2 linked regions of the Macaca fascicularis genome follow. The main gene of each other region encodes a partner of the protein of the gene in region 2 in a complex. Links are inferred from orthologs where the notes say so. Each region holds a gene or a part of one and is shown on either strand. Other genes may lie near its edges.

Region 1 (3,500 bases), on a different chromosome or scaffold from region 2:
ACCGAAATTACTGTTTTTCACTGAGGAGGAGAACCAGTTGGGTGGCACGACTTTGTTTTAGACAGATTGAGTTTGTGTTGCCTGTAAGACATATGGGCAGTTGGGTGGGCCTGGAGCTCAAAAAGGAAGTCACAGCCAGAGGTACTATTTGGGGAGTCATTAGAATAAAAGGGTGCCAGGGTAAAGCCTTCAGCACAAAATGAGTGACTCAGGCAGAATATATAAAGGAATCTTAGTTCTAGTTTCTCCCAACTAACCCTCCTCCCAAAACCAGCCATGGACATGGAACAAAATTATGTGCCCCCTGCCCCTCTCCCTGAAACAGAAGTATTGTGGGCCACTCAGATCGGGAGAGGGGACTAGGAATGGCTCCAGCCTTAGAATAAGGCTGATCCCAGCTCTGTAGAAGAAACTCTGTTGTTCAACTGAATGACTCCTGCCCCCAATGTAGAATACAGTTAGGGCCGTGAACAGAAATGGAGTTGTGGGAATGGGCAAAAGGCAGGTTCGTTGCTTGTGCAGAATGCAGCACTCACACAGCCAGAGCGATTTACGTGTCCACACCTGCCTGTCCCCCTGCTGAAGCTGCCCGGCTTGTGCCTCACAGTACCCCCATGGAAGCCTGAGTGGGGAAATTGGGCATATACTAAAATCAGTGCTCTCAGAAAACCAGGAATAACTTCATAATTTTATTTCTCCCGTCTCCCAGCCTCCTAATTACATCAATGGGGCACATCAAGCTCACGGACTTTGGACTGTCCAAAATTGGTCTCATGAGTCTGACAACGAACTTGTATGAGGGTCACATTGAAAAGGATGCCCGGGAATTCCTGGACAAGCAGGTAAGGAAGGATAGTTGATACATTGGAGGGTAGATTCTGGGCCCTTGTCCTGGCACAGTGGCTCATGCCCGTAATTCCAACCCTTTGGGAGGCTGAGGCAGGAGGATCGCTTGAGGCCAGGAGTTCAAGACCAGCCTCGGCAACATAGTGAGAGCCCATCTCTACATTTGTATACACATACATAGATTCCAGGCCCTTGAATAAGGCCTTGGGGCCATATGCCTACCTTGTAGCTAGATGTTAAGATTGGGAACCCCTATCTTTTCTACCTTTGGGTTCCAGAGAGGCATTGAGATAGGTAGCACATTTGGAAAACAGGATGAGCCATGAAAATCATATGGATATAAAATCCAAAGTCATCTTCCTTCTCAGGGTTTGGAGAAAACAGGTCATGTAACTGTTAGCACAGTTTCATATGAGGTCAGTCCCGAATCTCCCAGCCTGAGTCAAGGACAAGGCTCTCCTGGAGCCTGAGGTTCTTGGAACACAGGTTTGAATTTCCATTGGGCTGTGGCCCAGTGTCCTGAGAGGCAGCCTCTGGATGTTCCCTGGTTTGACATTTCAGGTTGTGACTATTCACCAGTCCCTGTAGTACTTACGTAACCAGTAGGGTCTGTTCTGTTAGAGGCTGGAGTGCAGAGGCCAATTGTGGGATCAGATGCCAGAGGTGGGTGTTGAGGGCTTAAGGGATGGTAGTTCTGGGCTAGAATGAGACAGTTTTGTTAATTAGCAAATACCTGCTGACAGTTCCGACTCTTGTTCCCTGGGGCTTCTGTTGATTTTGTTCATTAACTAAGGTGGGCTGAGTCTTCATTCAGAGACTCTTCTGTTCGAGGTGGGAGCATCCCGCGTCTCCCGCTGTCATGCCAGTGAGCAGCCTCAGGAGGCTGAGCCAGCCTGGCTTTTCTGTGCCCAGGTATGCGGGACCCCAGAATACATTGCGCCTGAGGTGATCCTGCGCCAGGGCTATGGGAAGCCGGTGGACTGGTGGGCCATGGGCATTATCCTGTATGAGTTCCTGGTGGGCTGCGTCCCTTTTTTTGGAGACACTCCGGAGGAGCTCTTTGGCCAAGTGATCAGTGGTAGGTACTATCCTGCTGGCCCAGTGGGGATACAGTCTGGATTCACAACTATGATGTATGCAGGCAGCTCATGAGGCCTGTGAGCTCTTGTTCTGAACTCACCATGTGTTTGTGATGTCTGCTGCTTTGGGGGTGGGTGTCTCTGTGTTTCTGCATGTACATACATGTGGACACTGTGTCCCCTAGGGCCTCACGTGTCTCCCATATATACCTGTGTGTTCCTCTCTGTGTATGTGCACATCCCGTAAGTGTGAGGGGTATGTCTGTGTATGTTTTGTGGAGTATAAAAGCAGGGTGAGCTAGAGCTTTGCAGTGCCCACCATGGATCATAGATCAAGCCATGGTCTAGGAACCTAAAAAAATTAAAGACTGGGGTCCCAGGCAAGGCATTCAGGGACTCCGGGCTGGGTCCTTTTTGACTCCTTTCCTTACATTGTCCTGGGACCTCTTCTACATCTCTCCACTCTACCCACAATTTCTCCTCTCCCTCTCACCCCTGATGACTTCAGATGAGATTGTGTGGCCTGAGGGTGATGATGCACTGCCCCCAGACGCCCAGGACCTCACCTCCAAACTGCTCCACCAGAACCCTCTGGAGAGACTGGGCACAGGTAGGGCAGGCCCTGCTAACTTTTCCCACTACTTAGAAAAGGGGTAAGGGGCCGGGCGCGGTGGCTCAAGCCTGTAATCCTAGCACTTTGGGAGGCCGAGACGGGCGGATCACGAGGTCAGGAGATCGAGACCATCCTGGCTAACACGGTGAAACCCCGTCTCTACTAAAAAATACAAAAAACTAGCCGGGCGAGGTGGCGGGCGCCTGTAGTCCCAGCTACTCGGGAGGCTGAGGCAGGAGAGTGGCATGAACCCAGGAGGCAGAGCTTGCAGTGAGCTGAGATCCGGCCACTGCACTCCAGCCTGGGTGACAGAGCGAGACTCCGTCTCAAAAAAAAAAAAAAAAAAAAAGAAAAGGGGTAAGGGAGGCTGAGTCCATGTACCCTGGAGGTTCAGGCTTCAGTTATGGGCAGCCCCTCTGGATCCTGAAACTCTGCCCTGCTCCCTGTAGGCAGGGAAGGAAAGATGCTTGAGCTGACCCCCTGAGTATAGCTTCTCAAGGTCTGGCTTCTTACGAGGTTTGCTGACCTGGACTCCATGCGGCTCATCCTTCCCCCTTGCCCATGCCCTCCCTTTCCACAGGCAGTGCCTATGAGGTGAAGCAGCACCCATTCTTTACTGGTCTGGACTGGACAGGACTTCTCCGCCAGAAAGCTGAATTTATTCCTCAGCTGGAGTCAGAGGACGATACTAGCTATTTTGACAGTAAGGCCGCCAATGTGTGGAGTGGAGTATGGGTCCTACCTGTTTGCCTAGAAACACCTGTGCACACTGAACTTGGCATTGGGAGCAACTTCTCAGGGCTCTGCTGAAATCTAATGGGGTCACAAGGAGGCCACCAGCAGGGCTCTGAAGGAAAGTGTCCTTTATGTCTGGCCCAGCCCGCTCAGAGCGATACCACCACATGGACTCGGAGGATGAGGAAGAAGTGAGTGAAGATGGCTGCCTTGAGATCCGCCAGTTC
Region 2 (4,104 bases):
TCCGACTGTGGCCCGTGTATCCTTCCACCCCCTTTTGAACCCTCCTAGGTCTCCTTGCCCCGCCCACTCGCTGGGCTGCAGCTTCCTACCGTTCCGTACTTTCCACTCAACCTGGTAACCCCGAACGTGCATGGTCTGGCCGGGGCGCGTGGAGCCTGGCCCCGGGCGATCCATCCCGCCGGGTTTTCACGGAGGCCAAGGGGGGGCGGGGCTAGGTGGTCTCTAAGAACCGAGCTTGAGTCCGACGCGGCGAACTGACTTGGAGCCCGAGGGGGAGAGATGCTCTAGTCTCCTAGGGGCACCGGAGCGGGCGCAGGAGAGGGCTGCGGGGTGCGTCCTACTCACGGGGATCCTCTTTCAGTTCATTTAGATAGGTGCCCTTTGGGCTCTGGAAATTCAACGGCGATGTGTTCACGTTCAGCACGCTCGGCTGAGAGCTTTCATTTTTAGGGCAAACAAGCCGAGTTACCGGGGAAGCGAGAGGTGGGGCGCTACAAGGGAGCCGGATGAGGTGATGCACGCTGGAAACACAATAGCAGGTTGCTCTTTGTGCTAAGACTGACATCCTGAGGACACAGGGTTGGGGAAAGGAGGAATCTCTAGGCAAAGGCTGCTACAGTCAAATCTCTGCGAACGACTGTGATCGACAGCGATGCAAAAGAGCGAATGCAGTCCACGCCGCGGAAATCCAGGGGCAGAGGCAGGGGGGAGGGTATTACCCTTGCAAGGACCGTCCCTGCATTTCCCTGTATACTGACCAGCGTGGTCACCTGGTCCTTTCCACCTGTGCACAGGTAACCTGAGACTCGAGTCAGTGACACTGCTCAACGCACCCATCTCAGCTTTCATCATCAGTCCTCCACCCCCGCCCCGCAACAGCCTACCCTGCCTCCGGCTGGGTTTCTGGGCAGAGGCCGAGGCTTAGCTCGTTATCCTCGCCTCGCGCTGCTGCAAAAGCAGCCGCGGCAAGTGCAGTTGCAGGCTGGCGGCTCGGAACCGGCCCGAGCGAGCTCTAGGCAGCCACACTGGGCATGCTCAGTAGAGCCTACGGCTTGGGGGCTTTGCGCTCGCACCCGGAGCTACCGCTTCTGTCCCCGCCTACCGCCCCCTGCCCTGCCCTCCCCTCGCCCGGCACGGTCCAGTCCGCCTCTCGTTCAGCTCCCGCCTCCCCTCGGTCTCCCGAGGAGCCCGGGCTCCCGGCGCGGCGGCGGAGGGGGCGGGCAGGCCGGCGGGCGGTGATGTGGCGGGACTCTTTATGCACTGCGGCAGGATACGCGCTCGGGCGCCGGGACGCGGCTGCGCTCAGTTCTCTCCTCTCGGAAGCTGCAGCCATGATGGAAGTTTGAGAGTTGAGCCGCTGTGAGGCGAGGCCGGGCTCAGGCGAGGGAGATGAGAGACGGCGGCGGCCGCGGCCCGGAGCCCCTCTCAGCGCCTGTGAGCAGCCGCGGGGGCAGCGCCCTCGGGGAGCCGGCCGGCCTGCGGCGGCGGCAGCGGCGGCGTTTCTCGCCTCCTCTTCGTCTTTTCTAACCGTGCAGCCGCTTCCTCGGCTTCTCTTGAAGGGGAAGGTGGAAGCCGTGGGCTCGGGCGGGAGCCGGCTGAGGCGCGGCGGCGGCGGCGGCACCTCCCGCTCCTGGAGCGGGGGGGAGAAGCGGCGGCCGCGGCGGCCGCGGCGGCTGCAGCTCCAGGGAGGGGGTCTGAGTCGCCTGTCACCATTTCCAGGGCTGGGAACGCCGGAGAGTTGGTCTCTCCCCTTCTACTGCCTCCAACACGGCGGCGGCGGCGGCGGCACATCCAGGGACCCGGGCCGGTTTTAAACCTCCCCTCCGCCGCCGCCGCACCCCCCGTGGCCCGGGCTCCGGAGGCCGCCGGAGGAGGCAGCCGTTCCGAGGATTATTCGTCTTCTCCCCATTCCGCTGCCGCTGCTGCCAGGCCTCTGGCTGCTGAGGAGAAGCAGGCCCAGTCGCTGCAACCATCCAGCAGCCGCCGCAGCAGCCATTACCCGGCTGCGGTCCAGAGCCAAGCGGCGGCAGAGCGAGGGGCATCAGCTACCGCCAAGTCCAGAGCCATTTCCATCCTGCAGAAGAAGCCCCGCCACCAGCAGCTTCTGCCATCTCTCTCCTCCTTTTTCTTCAGCCACAGGCTCCCAGACATGACAGCCATCATCAAAGAGATCGTTAGCAGAAACAAAAGGAGATATCAAGAGGATGGATTCGACTTAGACTTGACCTGTATCCATTTCTGCGGCTGCTCCTCTTTGCCTTTCTGTCACTCTCTTAGAACGTGGGAGTAGACGGATGCGAAAATGTCCCTAGTTTGGGCGACTATAACATTTAACCCTGGTCGGGTTGCTAGGTCATATATTTTGTGTTTCTTTTCTTGTATTCAACCTAGGGTGTGTTCGGCTAGACAGAACTCTTGCCTGGTTGCAAGTGTCGAGGCACCGATTGCTTGCTTAGGCTGTCTATACGGTCTCTTCCTGAGGGCTATTGTCCGTTAATACAGAATACAGTATGCTGTTAGTGGATTAGAGAGCTCGGTAATCCGGTCTCCTAAATGAACAAAAAAGTAGACGCTTTGAGGTTGAGCATATTTCGATTAAATCTTGGCTTAGGCCCTAGATCAAGGGTTTAGATCAGAATAAAATGAAAATTAGTGTTGCACGTATGCATATTGCATCAGAATCTTGCAGTGATTGTTTTAGTTTCCTGGGTTGCATTGATAGATTCTTTTAAAATATGACTGATTTGCATAACTTTAGAAGCAGAATAATTTTCAGTATATATGGTGCACATTGAGTGCAAAAAGTAGTTTTGTTAATGTTTTACACTTAAGTTACAACTTTGGACTGTATTTAGAAGTTTTGTAGTTTGAAATCAATAATGCCATAATATACCTTATAAGGCGTTCTTACTAGATCTTTGTTATATTTACCTTTTTCTCTCCCTATGGGATGATGTAGGATAGGGCTTGAAATTTGCACTTCAGTAGCGTTTAATGTTCAGTGCTCTTGTCATAAACATGGAATGGATATTGAGTAGTTTTTGATCCCAGATGACAATGTGTAGGTTCAAGGGTATTGTGTGTGGCAAGTGAAGATTGCAAAGATAAAACTTCAGTTCATGCTTGAAATTTAAGTATTGTGATGCCAGAATTGCTGCTCACCGTTTTTAGATTTCAGGTTCTCTGACATCTTTTGGTACTGTTAATTTCACTGATTTGTGTAGAATGTCAAGTGAATTTTACCAGCTAATATCCAGAAATGCTGGCAAGAGAAGTTTACTCCAGCTTTAGATTGTAGGTATGTTAGCTTTTTTCATACAGTGTATTAAATTTACTGAGTCAGCTTGTTGAATAAGACAGAAGCCCAAGAATTTTAACAGTGTATAGCTTTAGTTGTCTAAAAGTTAGGCCTTCGGGCTTCAAAAGTTAGTGGTCATCGAAAAGCATGAATCTTTGCAGTTTCAGGTACAACAGACTGGTTTTGATTAGGGATGGGGATGGGGCCCTCATTTTGCAGAATGGAAAGTATTGACAGGAATTGAGAGCTATTGGTAGGCCAGTGTATAAGGTATGTGAAAACAGAAGTTATTGGTCTGAAGTGACTGAAGCATTTAGGCTCTATCAAGGCCTAAAATTTGGTAATATGAGTTTGGTAATGCGAATTGTGGCAGTGGACAATATTTAGTTAAAATTATGTAATTGCATAAGTACTAGCAAAGTATTTTTAATAAAAATTATTTCTTAGCAAGTATCAGTTGCATTTTGTCTAAAGGTAGCGTGACACTGCAGTGTCTATATGTCCTGCTAAAAATTGTGGGGAAGATTTTTTTTTAAGACAACGTTTATATCGGGAGAGGTTTTATTCCCTTGGATTATGTTAGCTGCATATACATGTGCACAGTTAATTTTGCCCAAGTTTTTGTTTTGAAATGAATATAAAACTTACTGAAGAAGTAGCCTCCCAAAATTTAGTTTTCTGTTAAGTCAGTAATATTATTTTAAAACAGTATTTGCAAATTTTGAAGTTGGCATTAATTGAAAATGTTACTAAGGCTAAACTGGAAGATAAAAATGTTACTAAGGCTAAACCCGCTTGCCCAGAAG

What was found.
Region 1: the proteins of PTEN (region 2) and MAST2 are in contact, whole or in part, in an NMR structure (PDB 2KYL), measured with the Homo sapiens proteins. The link is inferred for Macaca fascicularis from reciprocal best matches to the Homo sapiens genes PTEN and MAST2. Residues at the interface, in NP_000305.3 of Homo sapiens: Pro391, Phe392, Asp393, Glu394, Asp395, Gln396, His397, Thr398, Gln399, Ile400, Thr401, Lys402, Val403; in NP_055927.2 of Homo sapiens: Lys1112, Lys1113, Tyr1114, Gly1115, Phe1116, Thr1117, Leu1118, Arg1119, Ala1120, Ile1121, Arg1122, Val1123, Tyr1124, Met1136, Trp1138, Glu1141, His1170, Val1174, Ile1177, Leu1178, Leu1191.

What each region holds. Positions count from the first base shown.
Region 1 is NC_088375.1:188,661,993-188,665,492, reverse strand, and holds part of MAST2 (microtubule-associated serine/threonine-protein kinase 2), read left to right. Parts: intron 1-709; coding exon 710-842; intron 843-1,758; coding exon 1,759-1,924; intron 1,925-2,433; coding exon 2,434-2,535; intron 2,536-3,118; coding exon 3,119-3,241; intron 3,242-3,417; coding exon 3,418-3,500. UniProt on the Homo sapiens protein: Appears to link the dystrophin/utrophin network with microtubule filaments via the syntrophins. Phosphorylation of DMD or UTRN may modulate their affinities for associated proteins. Functions in a multi-protein complex in spermatid maturation.
Region 2 is NC_088383.1:96,734,538-96,738,641, forward strand, and holds the start of PTEN (phosphatidylinositol 3,4,5-trisphosphate 3-phosphatase and dual-specificity protein phosphatase PTEN), read left to right. Parts: upstream 1-1,304; 5' UTR 1,305-2,149; coding exon 2,150-2,228; intron 2,229-4,104. Other genes in the region: KLLN (killin), read right to left, coding at 1-174. UniProt on the Homo sapiens protein: Dual-specificity protein phosphatase, dephosphorylating tyrosine-, serine- and threonine-phosphorylated proteins.